Linked DNA regions of Canis lupus familiaris. The protein of the gene in region 1 binds, or shares a complex with, the protein of each later gene. Links are inferred from orthologs where the notes say so. Each region holds a gene or a part of one and is shown in the gene's direction. Other genes may lie near its edges. The genes, in order: VPS54, VPS52 and VPS51.

Region 1 (8,071 bases):
GCCAGCAAGAAGCCAGGGCTCTCAGTCCTAGAACTGCAAGAAAAGGAATTTCGTTACCAACCTGAATGACCTTGGAAGCAGACTGCTCCCCAGTCCAGCCTCCAGATGAAAACACAGACTGACATCCTTTGATCGAAGACATATGAGATCCTGAGTAGAAGGCCAAGCTACACTCTGTGTAGACTCCTGACTCACAGAAAATGTAACATAATAAATATGTGTTATTTTAAAATGCTACGTTTTGCTAATTTTAACACAGCAATAGAAAACCAACACACCATGCTGCCTTGGTTTTCCCTATGCTTGGAGCTCAGTAAATTCTCAGTAAATGGTAGTTGATATTATTATGACAATCAACCAGAAATTTGGAGTATCAGAGTCAAAGAGAAATGTAACAGAGTTAAATAATTGTTTTCAGTGTAATCAAGCAATGGATTTAGGAGATACAGATGATGGTATGTCAAAAACTTTTATATTAACTCCCCAAAATTATTGAGTGTATTATTACCACATGAAATGTAAAATATCTAGTGGTGCTTAGATCCACATAGAGTTTTAATGTCTTACATCATACTCAGTGTAAGTTAGAAAGTTTCCTACATTAAGATAGTCCTTAGACATAGGGACTACTATAGACATAGTAAAACATAGTTTCAGGTTCCAATACTATTGCTATCAAGTGTGATTTTATAACATTGTAACATTTTAAGATAGCTTAAATATGATGGATAAGATAATTCAGGGCACTGGACCAAAAAATGAAACTGTGATAAGACTATCAGCATACTTTCAGTTCATGAATGTATGTATATTTTGCTTATCAAGGATAATTTATGCTAAACACATGATGTAATTATACATAATTAACTATAGAGTAGGTTTAGAGGACTTGAGTGGGTTTCTACTTGATAGATTTAAGGTGTGTTATTGTGGGAATAAAGAAAAGCTAGTGCTTACGTCTAACTAAACTACAAAATGATTTTTCTGATTGTTCCTTCTACCAGTGGCCCCTTTCCCTTCTGTATTTATATATTGGCATGTGAATGTATAGTTTCTGTCAAACGAGTCATTAAAAATGGTGTTTACTGATCAAATAGACACGTTAACCTCACTACTGCCACCCACACATATGCACCGAACATACAGTAAATATGAGCACAGACCTTTTAGAGGTGTTACAGCATTAGAAAATTTGCCCATTCTTCCTTTAATGAGAATATGTCACCCTAATGACCATAACCATTCATAATTCTTAATAGGTTTTATAAATACTATGCCAAATATAGTGTTAGTAATAGGATAGCTAAAAACCTTCATATTTGCTTTTATTGAGGGCAATCATGATTTCTATCAGTTTATCTTAATTTTCTGTCATCTGTGTTTTCTGGAAATGAATACTAATAATGCATCTCTACACATTTATTTGTGGTTTGGCTTTTCTAATGATTGACTCAATGAAATAAATCATTTCTAATGAAGCAATTCAAGAGATGACAAATGAACATATTAATTAAATGGAAATTCATCTAACTTTATTTTATTTTTTAAAAGATTTTATTTATTCATGAGAGACAGAGAGAATGAGAGAGAGAGAGAGAAGGAAGCAGACTCCGATGTGGGACTCAATCCCGGGACTGGATCCCAGGACTCCAGGATCACACCCTGGGCCCAAGGCAGGTGCTAAACTACTGAGCCACCCAGGGATCCCCTTCATCTAACTTTAAATTAAATTACTTGTCCAATTAACAGGTTTTTTTTTTTTTTTGACAAACTTTAACATCAGCATTTACTTCTTTGTTTACATTTACGATTATGAATTGTTCTGTGGCAAACTAAAAGTAAATACCTTGTTATATCCCTGAAAGAATTAAGCAAAATACTCACTGTGTATTTTCTTCCTATGGCATGCTATCTACGGATGGATAATGAGGAAAGCAAACCAGTCTGTCTTGTCTGGGAGATACCTCACGATAATTATTTAATTCAAGTGCCAACTAGAACAACCTGGAATCTTTTTTTGAAACAAGGTGAGGTATAAACACAAATAAGCTTTTTAAAGGCCAAACTGCAGACTTTGGCAACTTTCAGACTACTGTTGACTTCCTGATACAGATTCAAAATATGGGAAATTGCTAAATCCATTTCTTAGTATAATCTAAAAATTGATTCTAGACTTAAATTGAAATCATTTTCTTCTCTGGCCTCGGTTGAAATTTGGAGAGGCTTTCCTTAATATTTTCATAATAAAAACTCATCTGGTTTTATATGAGATCAGGGATTCAGAGGGATTTCTTTATTATAGTTAAATTTATTTCATATGGGAGGGGGTTGATATTTTCCTCTCATTACAAAATTGTAGAGAATGAGTTGAATTCAGGAAAACATAAGAATTTCCTCTCAGCTATTTCTGTCACATTCTTCGCCTATGTCCTCCCTTCCCCCAGCTTTAGCTCCTTAGTGGGTAAAATACTTCACAAAGTTGTGTTTGCAGTTTTCAAAGTGACTTCTTGGAAGTGAAATTTGCACCAACCTTTTTTTTTTTTTTTTTTAAATCCCCAGTTGTTAAGCGCTACATTTTCACTTTTGATAAAACAGGTTGGCTTATAAACACCTGCAACTGAGAAAAAAAAAAAAAAAAAAAAACCCACCACCACCACCAACAAAAACAAAGGCCTGCAACTTTGGCAGATATTTTAAGGCAAGGAGTAGTTGCAAAATGTTCAGAAGTCCTCCTGAAGCGAAGACAGAAGCCGCCCATGGTTGAGGCCCCCTTTTTCTCTTCTAAAAAAAAAAAAAAAAAAAAAAAAAATATATATATATATATATATATACACACACACACACACACACACACACACATATATATATATTCTGAGACACATGTCCTCTCGTGCAGGTTGCTCTTTTGCTGGGTTAGAATTGCAAGCCCTCGGACGCCAGGCTGAGTGGTATCACTGTTCACAATCACAGCCAGAAGGTATCTCGGGATCTCAGTCCCAGAGCAGAAGTAACCGGTCTGGGTGCCCGCGTAGGGTGACGATGGGTGGCTGCGCGGGGAGGCCTGCGACCAGGGCGAAACTTAAAGCAGGACCCGGCGGGCGGGGGAGGGCGTCCCTGCGAGGGCACAGTGCACGGTTTTCCGAGTCCGGGTGGTGGTGGGGGGGGTGTTGGGGGGAGAGGGTGACCTTTGACCTTCCAAAGGACCTTTATTTGGGAAACTCTATAAACAGCGTCGGCCTTGAAAGGCGAGGTGGGAGGTTGGGAAAGTGTCTGCTGGACGAGGTCCCGGGAGGCGTTCGGGGCGGCGGGAGTCGGCTGGGCTGGGGGGCGGCCGGCCCCGGGGCTGCTCCCGCGGGAAGGCGGGCGGGGGAAGGGCCGCGGGGCAGCGCGGGGCCGGGCGCGGGCGTCCGTGTGTGCGTGGAGGGCTCCGCGGGCCGGCGCCGGCGCTTCCCGCTCCCGGGAGCCCCGCGCCCGCCCCCGCGCCCCCCCCCCGCCCCGGCCCGGGCCGCGGCCCTCCCGCCCCGGCGGAGGCGCCTGCGCGGTGGATTGTGGGCCGGGGGCTGCGGCGGCCTCCGGCGGCCTCCGGCGCGCTGTCCGGGACCCGGCCGGGCCGAGGGGGCCGCGGGCCGAGGGCGAGCGGCGGAGCAGGCGGCGGGCGCGCCGGGGGCGGTGGTCGCGGCGCGGCGGCGGCTCCTCCGGAGGCCGGGGATGTGGGAGAGGCGGTGGCGGCAGCGGCGGAGGCGGCGCTGCGGACCCGGGGGAAACTGCTGGCTGACAGGACACCCGGGAGAGACGTGAGGGAGCCGCCGCGGCCGCCTCTCACCCGCGACGGAGCAGCGCTCGGGGGCGCGGCCCTGTGCTCCCCCGGCTGACGGGCCCGCCGGCGCGGCGCGGCGCGGGGCGGGGGCGGGAGGCCGGGCTCGGGCTCGGGCCCGGCGGGGCTCCGGGCGGCGGCGGCCGCGGAGCAGCCTCGGCGCGAGCGGAGGGCTGGAGGCGGCGGCGATGCGCTAGGCCGCGCTCTGGGGCGGCTGCCCGGGCCCCGCAGGTAGGTGGCGGCCCCCCGCGCGGCGCCCCCCGCCCCGGCTCCCGCGGGGGGACGGCCCGAGACCCCACCCCCTCGTCCCCCCGGCCGCGGCCGAAAGAGTTTCGGTCGCAACTGACGGGCGCCGGAGCTTCCATTCCGCCCTCGCTCCCCCCCTTCCTCCTCCTCCTCCTCGCCGCCGCTCTGGGCTCGGGCCGGGCGGCCGTGCTCCCCCCCTCAGGTCGGGCGGTCGGCGGCCGACATCGCCGCGATCCCCCCCCCCCCCGCGCCCCTCTCTGGGATCCGGGCTGGAACTTCCGCCGCCCCCAAACTTTCCCTTTCTTGTTCCAGCCCGGCCCTTGCTTAACCCCCCCTTTGGAGGCTGCTGGAATAATTTACATGTAAAAAAAAAATTTTTTTTTTTAAATCGTTTTTCTAAGGAAGAAAAGCAAGGCGAACCTCCCCCCCCCCCCCCCCATAACTCGGTGTTTCTGCAGTTTGGCCATCAGTTCGCCATCATTTGTTCAGTAATTGATTTTCTTCAGTTCTGCTTCTTTCCATCTGGGCATCGGTACAAAAAGCAGGCCTCCTCCCCTGCCTGCTCCCGTCGTGGACGGGAGAACTTTCGGGGGCCCATTATTACAATAAACCACTTGCTCGGCCCGTGTGTAGCGCGCAGGGTGGTTATTTTTAGAATTTTGACGGGCCCCGGGGTTGCAAGTTTTGTTTCAATTCACTTTTAACCAGCTTTATTTATTTGTTTATTTAGGCCTTTATTGAGTGAGGCTCTCCTTACTTTCGAAGAATTAAATTGTGTGGTTCCCCCCCCCCTTTTTTTTTTGTTTCGTGTTGTTTTTAATTGCCTCTGTGTTTGATTTCTCAAACCCCAGGGCAGTCTTGATAGTAAATGCTTACAAGGCAGATGATATCCTGATACAGCGTGCTGAGAAACGCGTTTTGGTGGTAACTTGAACTGCAGACTTTGATAGACGTTCAGGTGGACTTTTATAAATCTGGTGGAGAGTTCTGATTGGAAAAAGTACTTAGGGAGCCTTGATTTCTAAGCAGTTGTGGTGGAACAGACGAATGATGGGATTTGACTGTATCTCAGAGCCTTATTTCCTAGAAATGGGTATTACTTGGTGGTTCCTAGTGGTCATCATTGCTGATGATAGGTTTTGGTAAAAATGACCAATAGATGCAGGTTTTGGGTGATTGATAGTTGTGATCTGGGGGGTTAGATGTTTGCAGTTTTACTGTGATCTCGGCTGTTTTTAAATTTTGCTGATAACTTCAGAGTTCTTTCCCAGGACAGACATTATACAGTCTGAGGATTGTTTTTTTCAAAGGGAGTGAAAAATGTTGTAAGGGTTTTCTTTGTAAAGAATGCATCATAGAACTATAAAGACTTTCCATATTTTGTTGACTATACTCCTGTATTTTGCTGTTGTAGAGGTGTTGTTCCTCTAGCATTTGGCTTTCTGCAGTGTTCTTTGTTGTTTTTCGATTATCCAAAGTTTACTGGGAAAAGATGATTAAATTTTTGTATGCTTTCCGGAAAAGTTAAAATTTATCCAGTTTTTATGTCAGAATTATAATCAGATCTTACATAACTCATGAAACGGCAAAGTTTGCAGAATTTGTTCTTAATCACATTCCTTTTCCTATCAATGGAAGTTGAGTGCAATTTTTTCCTGCTTTAGCTTTTTACAAACAACTTTGAAGCACACTCACTTAAAATGTAAAATTAAATGATTTCTAGGATATTCACAGAGTTGTGAAACCATCATCCTAACCTAATTTTACCCGAAAAAGAAACCTATTCATTAACAGAACTCCCTTCATCTCCCCACCTGACCTCTGTCCTAGCAACCACTAATGTATTTTCCATCTTAATATTTGCTTATTGTGATTTATTCATGATGATATCAGCTCATAGCTTTTTGAGGCGTTTCTTTTAAAATCAACTTACATGTTTAAAATATTTTGAGTCAGAATAAGCAGCTGATCACTGGTGTTAATAATCCATGTTCTAAACAACTGATTATTTGGTTATATTCAGCATAAAGTATGGAGAAAGAAAAAAGTTAGCATGAATGATTTCAGTGATCTCAAGAGGTAGTCTGATTAGCTGGGAGTCAAGTAGAAGTTGGACTATTTTTGCCATTGAATATTAGGATATCAGGATTAGAAAAAAACCTTAAAGGTCATCAGCTTACTTCCTGCTTGCTTCACGAATAGATGGCAGGAACCATATGAAGAAATCTGGAGTGGAAGCCTGAATCTCTAGGATTGTGGCTTAAGACCCACAGTGTGGCCAAGTAAGGCAAGACATGGGGATTTGCTAGTTAGAATTGTTAGGTTCTCTTATGTGTGCATATGTTTGACATTTTACTAGCAGCGTTGGAGAAGAACTGGACATTTCCCCATTTGGGGATGGAGGATTGTGGGGAGACTAATGTATCCACATAGATGAAATCCATCTTAACAAAATTCTCTAAAAATGCTTTAACTTAAAGAAGGATGGCATATACTGTATATTATTTAGGTGTCTCCTTGTACTGTTATTGTTCTGTTTTTAAAAATTCAAATTTTAAAAACAAAATTAATTAAAAAAAAAAAAAAAACTAAGATTAACAAGGTTGGTTGTAGGCCTCCTTTTCCAAAGACCCACGGCCCTAACATCCAAACTAATGGTTCTCATACAGGGCGAATTTGCCCTCCAAGAGACATTTGGCGGTGTCTAGAAACGTTTTTCTTTTTTCAATGTCACAACTGAAGGTGGGGTGCCATTGTCATCTAGGCAGGAATGTTGCCAAACTTCACAATGCACCAGATATATCCTATGTCATCCCACCCTCCCCATTCAACAAAGAAGTATCCACCCAAATGGTGGTAGTATTGCTTTAAACCTGTGGTTTGCATTATTCCAGTAAGTGCCTGAACTAGTGTTCTCATCTCCCACCAGGTGGGAAAATAGGTCTCACTGAGTACTGTTTAGTACATTAGATTAACCCTTTAAGTCCTCCAACGACTCACTCTTTGAAGTGGAATAAAGTGGAAGGCGGTAAAGGGAGAAGTAGAAAGCAATCTAATTATGCACAATGCAGATATTCTTTAGTCTGTTTAGGTATCTCAAATTCTGAAGAAAAAATTTTTTTCCCTGAAAATGCAAAAGCCTTCTTTTACTGCAGATTTGAACTACTTTTGTGTTTTGAATTGTGAGTTACTGGTGCAAAGGTTTTTGAAATTGCAGTAGATATAGTAGTATTTTTTTTTTATATAGAAGGTTTTTGGTTTTGTTTTTCTGGTAGCTTCAAATGCCAAAAGAGAGAAGTAGTAAACTAATTTTTTATGAATTACTAATGTACATTGTGAATGTCCAACAAGATTCGGAGCTCATATATGAATTGCAACTTTTTTTTCTCATTCTTGTAGGCCCCAATTTTGACTCATTTAGTTTGGTTTTATTTTTCATTTAATTTGTTTTTAACAAGCTTAGTTTAGTGATGAAAGAAAAAAAGACTGACAGTTGGGGGTCACTTTTGCTACTTACCTGCCTTATTACTTAGATAAATTTATTATTCTCAGTCTTTCTGAGCCTTGATTAGACTCTCATCTATGAAATAGGAATAGTGATAATTCCTGTATTATAATGTGATTGTGAAAATTAAGTAAGGTAAGGTGTGTTTAGGTGCTACGTCAACTATAAAACACCGTGTAAGAATTAGTTCCTACACCTGGAACTAATATAATATGTTATTTGTCAATTATACCTAAATTTTAAAAAGTTACTTGTTTCAGAAGAATCAAATTAGAATAGGATATAGAGGGTACCAAAGTTAGGAATATAGACAGCAAGGCAGAGAACAGTGACTGCAGATAGTATCTCTAGAAAGAAGAGAGAAATTCTAAAAATATATTGGTAACAAACTAGTAAAAGAACCAGTATTATCACCAAAATTTCAAATTCTTCCCTATAAGAGCAAATTGACTTCTTTCAGTAGCACCTGAAAGTATCACTGTAAATACGGTATAATATGGGCAAAT
Region 2 (7,562 bases), on another chromosome or scaffold:
ACACTCAGCTGTAAGTTTAGCCCTGTCCTCTGCAACTCCTCCTTTACTCTTGTGGTGACTTTTGAGTCTTTTTGTTATATTCCCTACCTAGGAGCCCCAAATAGCAGATTGGGGACAGTGTGAGACTTTTGGAATTTTTTGACCCAGTGCCCATGGCTTCCCAATAAAAACCCAGCCCAGCCCCACCTTCCCCAAACCTTGAAGGTCTGTGGATTATCCCGTTATATTTGTTCTCTCTCTCTCTCTTACTGTGCCCTTTCCTGTTGACTTGTCCCTCTCCAGGGGGGTGGCCCTGGTCTTCAGGAGCCATTGCCACTTGGAGAATTGGACATCTCCTCTGATGAATTTATTCTGGATGAAGTGGATGGTAAGTGATGGCATGAGGTGGATGCAAACTGCTTGTGATCCAAGAGGTATGGTGCTGGAAGTAATAAGGTGGGGAATGGTGTACAGATGTTCGTTTGCGGGAGCTGGACCCTTATGATAAATTTCTATTTCCAGTTCACATTCAGGCAAATCTGGAGGATGAGTTAGTAAAGGAAGCTCTTAAAACGGTGAGGCTTTCTGCTGTACTGATTTATCCCTCCTCTTACCCTCCCCTCAAAGAGGAAAAAAAAGGACAGTCTCTCACTCTTACAACATCACCCTGGTGTCTCACCTTCTAGTCCTTTATTGATTCTTTCTAGGGTCTCTTCACTGCCACTTCCTCTTAACCTGTTGTGTTAATGTTCCCCTAGGGTGTGGATCTCCGTCACTATTCAAAGCAGGTTGAGCTGGAACTACAGCAGATTGAGCAGAAATCCATTCGAGATTGTATCCTCCAGTAGAGAAAAAGGGTGATGTTATTAAAATAGAGATTTTGCGGAGCATGGTGCATGCAGCCCAGCAGGGGCTGACATCTTCTCATGGCAGTTTCTGTCATCTCTGGGAAAAATGGGAATAGTCCCACAGGTCTGAGAATCTCCAGCTTTATGGTGAGGCCCCTTGACTTTTTGTGGATTAGATATCCAGGAGAGTGAGAACATAGCGTCTCTCCACAACCAGATCACAGCCTGCGATGCTGTTCTTGAGGTTAGTAACCATGACCTGTGATCCCTCTTAACCCTGAACCAGATCATGGTCTGGTGTTGTTCTTTAAGTCATCATCCTCAGGTGGGGATAGTTAGATTCACGTTCAGGATGACCTTAGCAGACCTTTTTGTTGCTACTGCCATAACTAATGTTATTTGCCAGTGACCTTTTGGGTACTTCTTACCTCATCACCTACCTTCGAGGACTGATACTGAAGACTTTACCAATAAACTTAGGTGGCCCATTTGTCCCTTGCCAACCCTTTGGTGCTCCAACAACATCTTCTGTCCTCCCCCCAGCGCATGGAGCAGATGTTGGGAGCTTTTCAGAGTGACCTCAGCTCTATTAGCTCTGAGATCCGGACACTGCAGGAACAGTCAGGAGCCATGAATATTCGGCTTCGAAACCGCCAGGCAGTTCGGGGAAAACTTGGGGAACTTGTCGATGGTCTGATAGTGCCCTCTGCTCTGATCATGTAAGTTGCCATTTTGAAGAGTTACAATGTCTATAGCAGGTAGATGGTCTAGGATGACCTACCACATGGGTCTCCTGGCCTCAGCTCTTCAAGCACCTTCCAGAAACTGATGGGTGGTTGACAACTCAACCTTGATGCATGCTTTAGGCATCAAAGATTAGGAATATCCAGAGTCAGGCATTTAGTTGGGAGGTTTAGTTGGGAGGTTTAAGGCTTTATGGACGTGGGATTGGGGGAGGTTCCAGGAACAGGAGACTTTGTACACGTATCCTGACTATGTGACTTAGCGTGTGAAGGGAGAGGTGACAGGCTGGATGTAAGGAATATAGTTTGGGACCTACTGATGTCTGGGTCTCCCTCCTATAACCCCTTCCACCTGTCCCTGCTACCCAGGGCAATTCTGGAGGCACCAGTGACAGAGCCTAGGTTCCTGGAGCAGCTGCAGGAACTGGATGCCAAGGCGGCTGCAGTCCGAGAGCAGGAGGCTAGAGGCACAGCGGCTTGTGCTGATGTCAGAGGCATACTTGACCGGCTACGGGTGAAGGTGAGGGGTGGGGATGATACCCCCAAGATTACTAGAACCAGCCTCCCTGACACCTTCAACCTGGGTTTCCCCAGCAGCGCTCACTGTAGCCCATCCCCAAGAATTTCACCCTGCCTTTACTGGCAGAGCTCATCTTCACATCTCTAGGTTCCCCTGAACACTTTCAGAAATACTGATGAGGTCTTCTCCAACCTCCATCCTCCTGTATTTGAAATGTGACCCTCCCCCCACCATTTCCATAACAGTCATAAGGTTGCAGCTTCATGCCCTGTGTTTGTTTCCTCCCCCCATGTCCAGGCGGTGACGAAGATCCGAGAGTTCATCCTTCAGAAGATTTATTCCTTCAGAAAACCAATGACCAACTATCAGATCCCCCAGACGGCCCTGCTCAAGTACAGGTCAGTGCCCAAAGGAAAGGCTCAGCATGGCCTCTGGGCCATCAGTCAGCCTGGTGAGGGGTCTGCTTTCTTGGGGAAGGTGGGGAGACTGACTTGTCCCTGGCCTCTCCAGGTTCTTCTACCAGTTTCTGCTGGGCAATGAACGGGCAACGGCAAAGGAAATCAGGGATGAGTATGTGGAAACGCTGAGCAAGATCTACCTGTCTTACTATCGCTCTTACCTAGGGCGGCTCATGAAAGTGCAGGTGAGGCCAAGGAGGGAGGCATGGCTAGGATTGGGGAAGAGGGGCCACCCCCAGGCAGGGCTGGACAGTGGGGAAAAATTGTTTTATCACAACAGGGGAGGAGATGCTTACTGGTTCCCTTTTCTCTTTTTTTCTTAGTATGAGGAAGTTGCCGAGAAGGATGATCTAATGGGTGTGGAAGACACAGCAAAGAAAGATATCCTAGAACTGAGGAACCCACGTAGTAGGCCTTGATAGTGACAGTGCCTCAAAGGCACTGCTTCTTGTCTTTTTCTCTGGGACCAAAACCTTTGAGAATGTGATAATGGCTATCCCCCTCCCCCCCTGCCGCCCGAAAAAGGCATGCATCCTTTTGACACATAGTTCTACATGTGATGGCAGGGAGGGTAGGAGCTCTCTGAAGCCCGTTCCCGGGTGTCAGATGAAGTGGGGCCAAGGTACTGGGAAGGAGGGACATCTAGGCTGTGTCTGGCTGCCTGCGGTCCCTGGAGGTAATGAGCCTCTGAGTCTGTCACCATTGTGATCTAGTTGTTTTCCCTGACTCTGATCCTTTACGATTCTTCTCAAAGCCTTCCCTCCGCAGCAGGAACACCATCTTCACCCTGGGGACCCGTGGCTCTGTCATCTCCCCCACTGAACTGGAGGCCCCCATCCTGGTGCCCCACACTGCCCAGCGGGGAGAACAGAGGGTAGGAGAAGGGATGAGAGTCAGTCATGAGGGTGTGCTGGGCATGGGTAGGAGAGGCCAGACCTCTGGGCAAAGCTTCCCGCCCTGCAGTCCCCTGTATCAATCCCCTTAGAACGGGGAATGACCTTCTTGGATCACCCAAGTGTTCTGTGATGTGAAGAGGGTTGAGACCGTTGACTTCAGGACATATATAGAGAGAGATTGGCTGAAGGGAACATCTTGGGGTAGGTTGTAGAGTTGGGTGGTGCAATAACAGCAGGTGGGGGTGGGTTCTTCTCTTGAGCCCCTCGTCCCTCTACCCCTTTCAGTACCCATTCAGGATGCTCCTTCACAGCCTGCACCTGGGTTAGATGGGAAAGACCTGAGCTCTCGTTACCCAGGCTTGCTGATTTTCCAGCAATATCTATGGAGAGTCAGCATTGGGGTCCATCCCTTCTGTCCCTCTTCTTCACCTCTCCCATCCTAGTATCCATTTGAGGCCCTCTTCCGCAGCCAGCACTACGCCCTCCTAGACAATTCTTGCCGTGAATATCTTTTCATCTGCGAATTCTTTGTTGTATCCGGCTCGGCTGCACATGATCTCTTCCATGCTGTCATGGGTCGCACCCTTGGCATGACCCTGGTAAGATCCCCAGCTCCTGTGCTCTTAGACCCCTTTGTCCTCAGTCCTCTGCAGCACTGTAGGGGGTCATAGCTCTGGTAGTACTGAAACCAGGCCCCCCCTAATTCTAAAATGTCTAAGCCTTGTACTCACAGAGCATATGAAACCCTCAAAGCTTGGGGTCCCTGAGGTACCCCTACTACTGACCCATAGCCAGGCAGTAGCATCTGAAAACGGAGGGGCCCCTGAAATGGTGCTCAGCCCTGAATTCTGCTGTGATGGGCTTGTGATCTTAAATCCTGATGGGCAAGGCAGCAGGACCACCTGAGGGGCTAGTGGACAGGGAAGGAGGAGGCATTTCCTGAGAGCTCCCTACCCTCCCTCCCAGGGCTGCATCCCCAGAGGAGTACATGCATTTGTCTGTAGCCACTAGGAATGACAGAATAACGAACGCTCTTTTCCAATTCTTCTATCCCTGAATCGTAGAAACACCTGGAGTCCTATCTCACGGACTGCTACGATGCCATTGCTGTTTTTCTCTGTATCCACATCGTCCTCCGGTTCCGTAACATTGCAGCGAAGAGGGATGTTCCTGCCCTGGACAGGTCACTGAGTTCTGGTCCTTGATGCCCCATTGCTCTTGAACCCTTGGCTTTACATGGTCCTGTTCTGACCATTGGGCTGCTGCTGACCAGACACCTGACTCTTACTCCCGTTCATCTGCCTGGGGACAGTACTGCTTTCTGCCTCACCATTCATACTAGTCCAACCTCCATCAGCCATCAGCTGGGTTCCCCCACAGAAACCCTACCTCCGTCCTCCCAGATTTCTTTTTGGCCTTTTAAATTTTTATTTTAATTCCAGTTAGTGAACATACAGTATCCTCTTAGTTTCAGGTGTATGATAATAGCGATTCAATATTTGCATGTATCACCTAGTGCTCATCACGACCCTCACATTTCTTGCCAGCTGATCTCTAATTCTGATTAAGTCTGCAGGTACTGGGAGCAAGTGCTTGCCTTGCTGTGGCCACGGTTTGAGCTGATCCTGGAGATGAATGTCCAGAGTGTCCGAAGCACTGACCCTCAGCGGCTAGGGGGGCTGGATACTCGGCCCCACTATGTGAGAGAGGGCAAGGGTAACAAAGGGGTTCCCAAAAGGCAGGGCTCTAGCTTCACTATGGGGGTTGGTCGGGTTCCCAGTTGTGTTGTGGGCCTGGCTGGATATTGGGGCACACTCTGTGTGTGGGGCAGTCTAGGAGTATGTGAATTCAGGGTGAATTTGGCATCATTTATTATAGTGATTGGGGGTGGGAGTCACAGAGGTTGATGGGCCAGCTCCTAGGGACTTGCAAGATTGCTTTGGTTGGGTCAGGGGGATGGTGTGATTTTATTACCACTTTTCTTTTCCCAAGATCACGCGCCGATATGCAGAGTTCTCGTCTGCTCTTGTCAGCATCAATCAGACAGTTCCCAATGAACGGACAATGCAGCTGCTAGGACAGCTACAGGTGAGGGTGGGCAGGAGAGACTTCCCAGTGGCTGGGCTGCCTCAGTGGCCTGCAGTGTGAGGAGCGCTGTGTGCCCTCACCTTCTCATGTCACCTCTTCCTTCTGGCTTTTCCAGGTGGAAGTGGAGAATTTTGTCCTCCGAGTGGCAGCTGAGTTCTCCTCAAGGAAGGAGCAACTTGTGTTTTTGATCAACAACTATGACATGATGCTGGGCGTGCTAATGGTACAGACACTATTTCTCTCTTCCTCCCTACCCAGAGGGTTTGGCCTCCCCCACTGCTCTGTTTGCTCTGTGAGGACAGAGCTTGGTCTTGTTCCGTAAGTTATTCTTGGCATCTGGCGCATTGCCTGGCCAAGTACAGTAAATGTGGAAGGAAGGGGATATCCTGAAGTCAAGGGCTGCTTCTCCCACACTTGAGATTTCCCTTTGTCTTCCCTTAGGAGCGGGCTGCAGATGACAGCAAAGAGGTTGAGAGTTTCCAGCAGCTGCTCAATGCTCGGACACAGGTAGGGGGGTGGGGAAGAAGAGAGGGAGAGTCTCATGTGCTATTTTCTCTTCTGTGTGTGTGTGTTTAGGGAGTGGCAGGTAAAGGGCTTCATGTACCCAGAATTGGAACTACTGGTTTCCTTTCCTTTTGTGTTTTTTTTTAACGATACACATACCCCTGAAGCCTTCACCTACCTTGACGATAACCAGCATTAAACAATGAATTCTTCCTCAGCCCATTTCCTTGCCCATCACACTTTTAAGTCTTTTCTTGACCTAAGTATTGTGTTTACCATGCTCTTGCTTTCAAAAATATAGCTGTAAGTATGGCAACTAATTAACTTAGTTGTACTTATTTATTTCTAACGTTTTTATTTTTTATTTATTTTCTTTTTTTAAGTAGTCTCCATGCCCAACATGGGGCTCAAACTCATGACCCCGCGATCCAGAATTGTGGGCTCTATCTGCTGAGCCAGCCAGGTACCTCCCCACCTGTATTATATTTTTATTTTTATTTTTATTCTTGAGTGACATAAAAGCAATCACAGGATTTTTTTCATGCATAATTTTTCCAACATTATCATATTATGACATATGGCTACAGCTTTTTCTTTTTTACTTTATATAATTTTATATTGTGTGAATGTAACGTTTTTTCCTGCAAGTGGACCTTGGGATTATTTCTAGTTTTTTGCAACTGTGAGAGTTGTTTTATGAACAGTTATGTTTTTTAGTGCATGTAGATGGAGAGAAGTTTTATAAAAGTTTCTCTTGGAAGTAGGACTTGGCTTGTTGCTTGTAGGGTTTGCCAGCATTCAACCTTATGAGACAGTGCCATATAGTTTTCCTAAGTGGTATACTAGTTTTTTCTTTACTGGCAATGTGTAAGAATTCTCATTGAGCTATATTTTCTACAACACATGGTATTACCAAACTATCTTTGCCATTCTGGTATAGGTATCTCCTTAGGGGTCTTTATATGCATTTTTCTGATTACTATTGAAATTGAGCATCATTTCAAATGTTAAGTAGTTATACAAAGTTTTCTATTCCATAAAATATCTGTTGTAGCATTTGGCCTTTTTAAAATTGGGTTGTGTATTTCTTTTTGATTTATACGATTTTTAAAATATATTTATGAAACCAATTTTTTGGTTGTATAGGTTGCAGATATATTTCAGAGCTTTATTTTTTATTTTTATTTATGTTGTCTCATGATGGACAAATTCTTAATTTTAATGTGATTGGCTTTACTGATTTTTTCTTGATTTTTCTGTCTCATTTAAGAAATCTTGTATTGGGCTTTTGAGGGACTCAGTCAGTAAAGCGTCTGCCTTTGGCTCAGGTCATGATCTCAGGGTCCTGGGGATCCAGCCCCACACTGGGCTCCCTGCTCAGTGGGGAGCCTGCTTCTTCTCTCTCTGCCCCTTGCCCATGCTGATGCACTCTCTTCTCTCTCTCACTCACTGTCTGTCAAATAAATAAATAAGATCTTAAAAAATAAATCTCAGGGACGCCTGGGTGGCTCAGTGGTTTAGCACCT
Region 3 (8,051 bases), on another chromosome or scaffold:
GGTTCAGGGTCCAGCCAAGACCCAAAGTCTCCTGCTACATCCATGCTTGCTGCCCAGTGTCATTAATCACAACAGTCCCTTAGACCCCCATCCTGACACATTACAGTAGTGACCCCCAACGCCCACTTGTTGGCCAAATGTTAAAACCATTGTTTCAAAAAAAAAAACAAAAAAAAACCCATTGTTTCCATCTCCATTCTCATGTAAATACAAATGAAATTTTATACATTAGGGCTTCTGGCTCAAAACCAGTTAAAAATTATCCAAGTAGTGCATGACTATGTTCTTGTAAAAGATTTGCATAATACACAAGCATACAGAGGAAAAGACAATGACCTGCCCGCCTCCTACCTACCTCACAGAGGTATCCCTCAACAGTTTAGTGAGTGGGCATCTTTTGGATCCCTTCTTACTGAAACCTCATATACCTACCTGTATATATACATGTATAATTTTAAAAAGCATCATGGAGAACCACACCATATGTGTTGTCAAAGTGTAACTTTCAAAAAGTTAGGGGCAGCCTGGGTGGCTCAGTGGTTTAGCGCCGCCTTCACCCCAGGGTGTGATCCTGGGGACCCGGGATCGAGTCCCATGTGGGGCTCCCTGCATGGAGCCTGCTTCTCCCTCTGCCTGTGTCTCTGCCTCTCTCTCTCTCTGTGTCTCTCATGAATAAATAAATAAAATCTTTAAAAAAAAAAAAAAAGTTAACATGATGCTAGGTCTGGAATGAACATGTAACTAAGATGTATTAACCTATCAGTGAGGAGTCCCCCCTCAGTAAGGTGATAATGTATCTTGGGGACTTGGATATTGATAAGCATTCCTTTAGAGAGGAATGTTGGTGTGCCTATGTGGCTCTCAGTCAGGCGGCTACCTTTGGCTCAGGTCATGATCCCAGGTTCCTGGGATTGAGCCCCGCATTGGCTCTTTGTTCGGGGAGTCTGCTTCTCCCTCTCCTGTGCTCTCACTCTCCCTTTCACGGTCTCTCACTTTCAAGTAAATAAAATCTTTAAAGAAAAATAAAGAGCAATGTTAAAATATGATTCTAGGTTAGACACAAAACTGCTTGATATCCTACAGGACGATAAATAGAACTTTTGAAGTTACTTTTTCTGCTGGATATAAATGTTTTGTATATCTCCTGGACAATATCTACTTGTAATATCAGCATCTGAACACATAATGGTAAATAGCAATATCAAATGTTCATTCCTGTGGGTAATTAAATAATCATTGGATAGGCTTGTAAAACAAGCCCCAGTGTGGCATTAGCAGAACATGCTACACTCTTGGGTTTTTTTGTTTGTTTTTTCTTAAAGATTTTATTTATTCATGAGAAACACAGAAAGAGGCAGAGACACAGGCAGAGGCCAGGATCACAACCTGAGCTCAAGGCAGATGTTCAACCGCTGAGCCACCCAAGTGGCCTACACTCTTGGTCTTATTTCCAAATTTTGAATAATTTTTCTTAACCATTATTCTGCAACTTTTTTTTAAGTGTATAGACTTGGAGTAGATCTAAATCTTTATACTCATTTTTTTTTTTGAGATTATAGCATCATCAGCTGACACTATTTTTTAAACAGCCTCTAAACATCCTTCTTAACATAGATGAAATCTTTCAACACAGATTTCAGCAGTCAGCCAACTATTCTTCATGGTAAATGTTTTAGGTGTCAGCCATAAGGTCTCTGTTGCAACTACTCAACACTTCTGTTGTAGTGCAAAAGCAGGCACAGATAATATGTAAACAAATGTGCATGGCTGTGTTCAAATAAAACTATAGACACTGGAATATTTCATATAATTTTCATTTGATTTTATGAAAATCATCTTTTAAATTGAGATAGACATATTCCAATATTTTTAAGGGTACAAGGTAATGATTTGGTATTTGTATATATTTCAAAATGATCACAAGGAAGTCTAACATCTGTCACTATACAAATTATTAATGTTACAAATTATTTTTTCTCCTGATGAGCACTTTTAAGATCTACTCTGATTATATGAATTTTACATAATTTTCACATCATGAAATGCCATTCTTATTTTTTAACCATTTAAAAATGAAAACAAACAACAACAACAAAAAAACCAAACACACCAGTCTTAGCTCACAGGCCAAATGAAAACACGTGGTGGGATGTGTTTGGCCTGCCGCACCCCAGCCAAAGAATCTTTAAACACGGTGGTTTCCATTCCAACACCCCCCACCCCGCCCCGCCCAGCCGCCAGCCCATCACAAGTAATGTTTCAAGGACCATGTCGATAAAGTCGTTTTCTCTATTAAAACTCATCGTATCTATACTTGAACCTCATTACCTGTCCTCTTAAGCACTGCGCCTTGGTGAACAATTAATTGCATTTTGTTGAAATCGGAAACCTGAGAACAACCCTCATCATCTGCACCCAGCCCCTCACCCCCCCCCCCCCCAGCACATCCCACGGGTCGCTGAAGATCTGCCAAGTCGGTCTTCTAAGCAAGTATCTTAAAGTGCTTGGGGACTTTTTTTTTTTTTTTTTCCCTTAAAGAGGCTAGGACTGGGGGAGCCCAGGGTCTGAAGGCAGTTCTGACCCGTGTCAGAGGACGGGCGGGGAAACTGCTAGAGGCCCCGCCCGCACTGTGCGCGCATCTAACCTCGTAGCTCCCCCGCAGCCTCTTGTGAAGTCTGCACCCGTATAGTAGGAATGGGGGACATATTCCGGGGGCCCCTGCCTGCGGGGGTGCGGGGTTGGGAGCCAGGACCCGCCTTCCTTCTGGGAGGGAAGCACCAGACGAGTTCTTCTCAATCTGCTCGGGAGGCTGCGGGAACCCAGGGCTCTCCCGGAACCTCTTCCGCTCAGGGAGGAAAGGTAGGGGGAACGCTAGTCTCGAAGGACCCAGGGTTGCAGGGGGACCTTTTAGCTGAAGGACTGCCTCGTTTCAACAAGAACTTTATGGCTCCCGGAAGTGCCTCCTCCCAGTTCTTTCCCAGCCTCACACCCGTGGGCTGCAGTTGGAGTGATGGCGGCTGCAGCCGCTGGACCTGGCCCGGGGTCTGGAACTGGGGACTCTCCGGAGGGGCCCGAGGCGGAGGCCCCGGAGCGTCGGCGGAAGGCGCACGGGATGCTGAAGATTTACTACGGTCTCTCGGAGGGGGAGAGCGCGGGGCGCCCCGCAGGGTCGGACCCCCTGGACCCGACGGATCTCAACGGGGCACACTTCGACCCGGAAGTGTACCTGGACAAGGTGTGTGTTTGTGTGTTGGGGAGAACCAGGCCCCGGACACATCGCACCCCCCAGATCATGCCTTCGACTTTGCTGCGGGGGTGAGGGACGCAGGGGCTCGTAAAAACCAGATGACCCTAGGGCAGGAAGCAGGGGCCGAGCTGGAGTCTAAGGGGGCGTGGGCAGATTTGGACGGGCCGGAGCAGGTGCGGGGTGCTGATGTCCTGGGCTGATGTTCTGATAGGCCGGGGCGTGGGGCGTGGGGCGTGGGGCGTGGCCCAGGCGTTGACAGGCTTAGGGGTGGGCGGTGGCTGAATCTGAGCGTTTCAAAGGCTGACAAACCCCAAATAGAGTCGAATCTAGTAACTCCTGACCTATGGCACTGATAGGCTCTTTGTCTAGTATCTCTGCCAGGAGTGGGATGAGAGCTTTCTTGCACCCAAAGCCTACCAGGTAGGGGCAGGCCTGAGGGACATGAATGCCCCTGCCCTGAGCACTACCACTTGGATTTCCTCCAGCTGCGTCGGGAATGCCCCCTGGCCCAGCTGATGGACAGTGAGACAGACATGGTGCGACAGATCCGGGCTCTGGACAGCGACATGCAGACCCTGGTCTATGAGAACTACAACAAGTTCATCTCAGCCACAGGTGATTCCCGCTGGGACACACCCATCACAGTCCCGCCTGCCTGTTGGTCTTGTGTTGGGGAGTCGGGGGAGGAGACCCAGATTCTATTTTTTTTTTTTTAAATTTTTATTTATTTATGATAGTCACAGAGAGAGAAAGAGAGAGAGGCAGAGAGACATAGGCAGAGGGAGAAGCAGGCTCCATGCACCGGGAGCCCGATGTGGGATTCGATCCGGGGTCTCCAGGATCGCGCCCTGGGCCAAAGGCAGGCGCCAAACCGCTGCGCCACCCAGGGATCCCGAGACCCAGATTCTAGTCCCTCCCTGACATTTATCCACTCCCACCTCTCAGAGCTTTTGTGGTCAAATGATGGTAGCTGCTCTCAGAGGGTTATTCTGAGGGTCAAAGGGGAGAAAAAAACAAAATGAAAACAATTTAAAGGTTTTATTTGTTTATGCATGAGAGACACACAGAGGCAGAGACATAGGCAGAGGGAAAAGCAGGTTCCCTGGGGGAGCCCTATGTGGAACTCGATCCCAGGACCCCAGGATCACAACCTGAGCTGAAGGCAGACACTCAATCACTGAGCCACCCAGGCATCCCAACAAAATGAAACCTTAAACTGAAATGGGTTTATCTGAACCACTTAGAATCCCTGACACTATCGATGTCTCAGTAAGGGTTAGTTTCTCTGATTAGTGGTAGCTTTCTTCTCTTGCCCAGGTCTATCTTGAGGGTGGGCTTGTCTCTGTCTCTTTCTCTCTCTCGCTCCTTTCCTTCCTCTATCCCTTTCCCCCTTTTAAATTAAGCAAAGAGGGGGATCCTTGGGTGGCTCAGTGGTTTAGCGCCTGCCTTTGGCCTAAGGCGTCATCTGGGAGTCCTGGGATCGAGTCCCGCGTCAGACTCCTGGCATGGAGCCTGCTTCTCCCTCTGCCTGTGTCTCTGTCTCTCTCTCTCTGTCTCTATGTCTATCATGAATAAATAAATAAAATCTTAAAAAAAAATTAAGCAAAGAGACACAATATATGACATTAAGGGACACAGAGATCATGAAAAGGGTTTTTTTTTTTCCTTCTCCTCCTGCCTCCTTTATTCTCTGTCCAGGACAGTGCTAGACAGGGTTCAGCTATCATTCACACTAACTACTGTCTTATGTTGGTGAAATGCACTACTCAGACTTTTTTGTGATAATTTTGGACTCGTGTGTACATAGTTCTAGAGGCAGATCTCGAATGTCTACTGGTGGTCCATGAGAATGTTGGGTGAACCTTTGTGAGGCTCATTCTGACATCTCTTACTCTACTAGTGTCACAAGGTTGGGTGTAGCCATTGTCCTTTTATCTGATTTGAAACAGGTTCAGTGAGTAGGCACCTCTTTATTTGCTAATACCAGCATCAACCAGCAAGAAATCATAATTCCTAGGGGCGTCTGGGTGGCTCATTCAGTTAAGAGTCCATCTCTTGATTTCCGTTCAGGTCATGATCTCAGGGTCATGAGATGGAGATTGAGCCGGGTGTTGGGGCTCCATGCTCAGGGGGAGTTTGCTTTTCTCTGCCTCTCTCTCCCTTTGCCCATACCCTCATACTCTTTCTCTAAAATAATTTAATAAGTCTTTTAAAAAAAAGAAATCATGATAATTTCTGAGCTACAAAATTTCTTACAAGAACTTTGCAAACATTACATTTTCCATTTGTTAGAATTTGTATAATTTTGACATTTAACTGTTATTTAATAAAGGATGACTTATCTTTTTTCTAAGAAAGGGAGAAAATTATAAAATGAGTGTTGGAATCGGGGTTCTAAATCTATAACACGGTAAAGTCTTATATCCATTCAAGAAGTATTCATTGAATGCCTTTTTTTTTTTTTTTTTTTGCCAAGACCTGTTCTGCATTTTGGGGATATAGTAATAAACCAGCTAGATCAAGCTCCTTCCTGCAGCCTGCATTCTATTTGAGGAGACAGACAATAAATGAACACATAAATAAAGGTGGTAGTAAGTGCCAGAAAAAGAAAATAGAATAAGGATAAAAGAGTAATGTGCGTGTGGGTCTACCTTTAGCTAGGGTAAGTACGAGAAGGCCCCTCTGATGTGGTGACATTTGAGCAGGGCTTTCATGAGAAAGAACTAGCCATGGGTAGGGGAGCAAACAGCAGGGGCAGAGGCTCTGAAGAGAGGGCATGTGGGCATATTCAGAGTGCAGCATGGGGTTTAGGGGGAGCGAGGGAGGAAGGAGGAGAGTGGTAGGTGATAGGGTAGAGGGCTAGTGGATTCCAGATTTTGTAGGGACTTATAAGTGGTTACAAGGATCCTGCTCTTTACTCTGAGTGAGTGGAAATGAGAAGAATGAAGTGACCTGACTTGTTTTAAAAGGACCTTTCAGTCCACTCTGTGGGGAATGGACTATAGGGAGGCAAGGGTGGCAGCCAGGACACCCATTAGGTGGCTGTTGCAGCAGTCTAGGCAAGATGCCAGCGGCATGGACTAAGAAAGCTTCTTAGCCATCACAGAACATATGTTCTAGAGAAAGAGACGGATGATAAATATAGATCATTTCACTCAACAAGAACTCCAGAGAAAATGAAACAGGATAATATAGAGAAAGTGGGTGGTTAGGGGTAGTTTAAAAAGGGTGGCAGAGAAAGGGGTTTGTGAGGCAGTGACAGTGAAGGTAAATGATAAAGAGCTGACCATGTGAGGATTTGGAGGCAGAGCAGCTCAGGCTGAGGAAACATCCTGTGCAAAGACCCTGAAAATGCTGTGACAAGAGCAAGAGTGACGTGATGAAGGGAGCAGGACCTGACTGCATAGGATATATACACGAAGGGTCGCAAGCTTTTCTGAGTAAAGTACATATTTTAGGCTTTGCAGGCCCCTTGGTTTCTGTACTTGTCTCTGCTGTGATAACCTGAAAGCCACTATGGGCAGTAGGTGAATGAATGCAGATGGCTGTGCTCCAGTGAAGCTCATTTACATAAACAGGTGTGACATCCAAAATGATGTCAGCAGAAATAGTGGAGCAAGTGTATTTGAAAATCTTCTTACCAGGGCAGCCCAGGTGGCTCAGTGGTATGGCATCGGCTTCGGTCCAGAGCCTGATCCTGGGGACCTGGGATTGAGTCCCATGTCGGGCTCCCTGCGTGGAGCCTCCTTTTCCCTCTGCCTGTGCCTCTGCCTCTCTCTCTCTCTCTCTCTCTCTCTCTCTGTGTTTCTTGTAAATAAATAAATAAAATATTTTTTAAAAATCTGGGGATCCCTGGGTGGCTCAGTGGTTTGGTGCCTGCCTTTGGCCCAGGGCGCGATCCTGGAGTCCCGGGATCAAGTTCCGCGTCGGGCTCCTGGCATGGAGCCTGCTTCTCTCTCTGCCTGTGTCTCTGCCACTCTCTCTCTCTCTGTCTCTCATGAATAAATAAATAAATAATCTTTAAAAAATAAAAAAAATAAAAAATAAAAAATCTCCCTTCCATAAATGCAACCAAAAAACTGGTCAAAATTGTCAGAATCAACTTTTTGGAATTCTAAAAATTAACCAAAAGTTTGCAGCAATCTGAGGACCCTTTTTTCAAGAAAAACAACTGAATCTTGGTAAAAGTAGTGAATCCGGTGGTGGGTTTTTTTCCCCCTAAAGATGTATGTATTTGTTTGAGAGAGAGAAAGAGTACATGAACAGGAGGGGCAGAGCGAGAAGGAGAGAGAATCTCAAGCAGACTCTTCTGAGCCCGACTTGGGGCTTGATCTCAGGATCCTGAGATCATGACTTGAGCCAAAACCAAGAGTCTGACACCTAACCAACTGTGCCACCCAGGCACCCTGCCTGTGGTATTTAATTTATATATTTTAAAGACTTTTTGGGGGGAGGGGTACCTGGGTGGCTCAGGCAGTTAAGCATCTGCCTTCAGCTCAGGTTCTGTGATCTAACCCCTCATTGGGTTCCTCATTGGGAGAAACTCAGACTGCTTCTTCCTCTCCGTTTGCCTGCTGCTCCTTCTGCTTGTACTCTGTCTCCCTCTGTCAAATAAATAAATTTTTAAAAAAGATTTATTTATTTATTTATTTATTTATTTATTTATTTATTTGAGCACAAGCAGGGAGGAGGGGCACAGGGAGAAGTAGACTTGATCCCAGGACCCTGGGGTCATGACCTGAGCTGAAAGCAGATGCTTAACTGACTGAGCCACCCAAGCACCCTGTGATATTTTAGCTTACCC

What was found.
Region 2: VPS54 (region 1) and VPS52 share a complex: the UniProt entries of both Homo sapiens proteins name them as parts of the golgi-associated retrograde protein (GARP) complex. The link is inferred for Canis lupus familiaris from reciprocal best matches to the Homo sapiens genes VPS54 and VPS52.
Region 3: VPS54 (region 1) and VPS51 share a complex: the UniProt entries of both Homo sapiens proteins name them as parts of the golgi-associated retrograde protein (GARP) complex. The link is inferred for Canis lupus familiaris from reciprocal best matches to the Homo sapiens genes VPS54 and VPS51.

What each region holds. Positions count from the first base shown.
Region 1 is NC_049231.1:64,962,575-64,970,645, reverse strand, and holds the start of VPS54 (vacuolar protein sorting-associated protein 54), read left to right. Parts: upstream 1-3,941; 5' UTR 3,942-4,045; intron 4,046-8,071. UniProt on the Homo sapiens protein: Acts as a component of the GARP complex that is involved in retrograde transport from early and late endosomes to the trans-Golgi network (TGN).
Region 2 is NC_049233.1:2,859,423-2,866,984, reverse strand, and holds part of VPS52 (vacuolar protein sorting-associated protein 52 homolog), read left to right. Parts: intron 1-282; coding exon 283-367; intron 368-501; coding exon 502-554; intron 555-737; coding exon 738-813; intron 814-1,003; coding exon 1,004-1,071; intron 1,072-1,370; coding exon 1,371-1,546; intron 1,547-1,939; coding exon 1,940-2,090; intron 2,091-2,387; coding exon 2,388-2,488; intron 2,489-2,600; coding exon 2,601-2,733; intron 2,734-2,871; coding exon 2,872-2,929; intron 2,930-3,288; coding exon 3,289-3,422; intron 3,423-3,887; coding exon 3,888-4,043; intron 4,044-4,508; coding exon 4,509-4,627; intron 4,628-5,020; coding exon 5,021-5,144; intron 5,145-5,436; coding exon 5,437-5,532; intron 5,533-5,647; coding exon 5,648-5,755; intron 5,756-5,973; coding exon 5,974-6,039; intron 6,040-7,562. UniProt on the Homo sapiens protein: Acts as a component of the GARP complex that is involved in retrograde transport from early and late endosomes to the trans-Golgi network (TGN).
Region 3 is NC_049239.1:52,606,716-52,614,766, reverse strand, and holds the start of VPS51 (vacuolar protein sorting-associated protein 51 homolog), read left to right. Parts: upstream 1-2,922; 5' UTR 2,923-3,010; coding exon 3,011-3,235; intron 3,236-3,732; coding exon 3,733-3,862; intron 3,863-8,051. UniProt on the Homo sapiens protein: Acts as a component of the GARP complex that is involved in retrograde transport from early and late endosomes to the trans-Golgi network (TGN).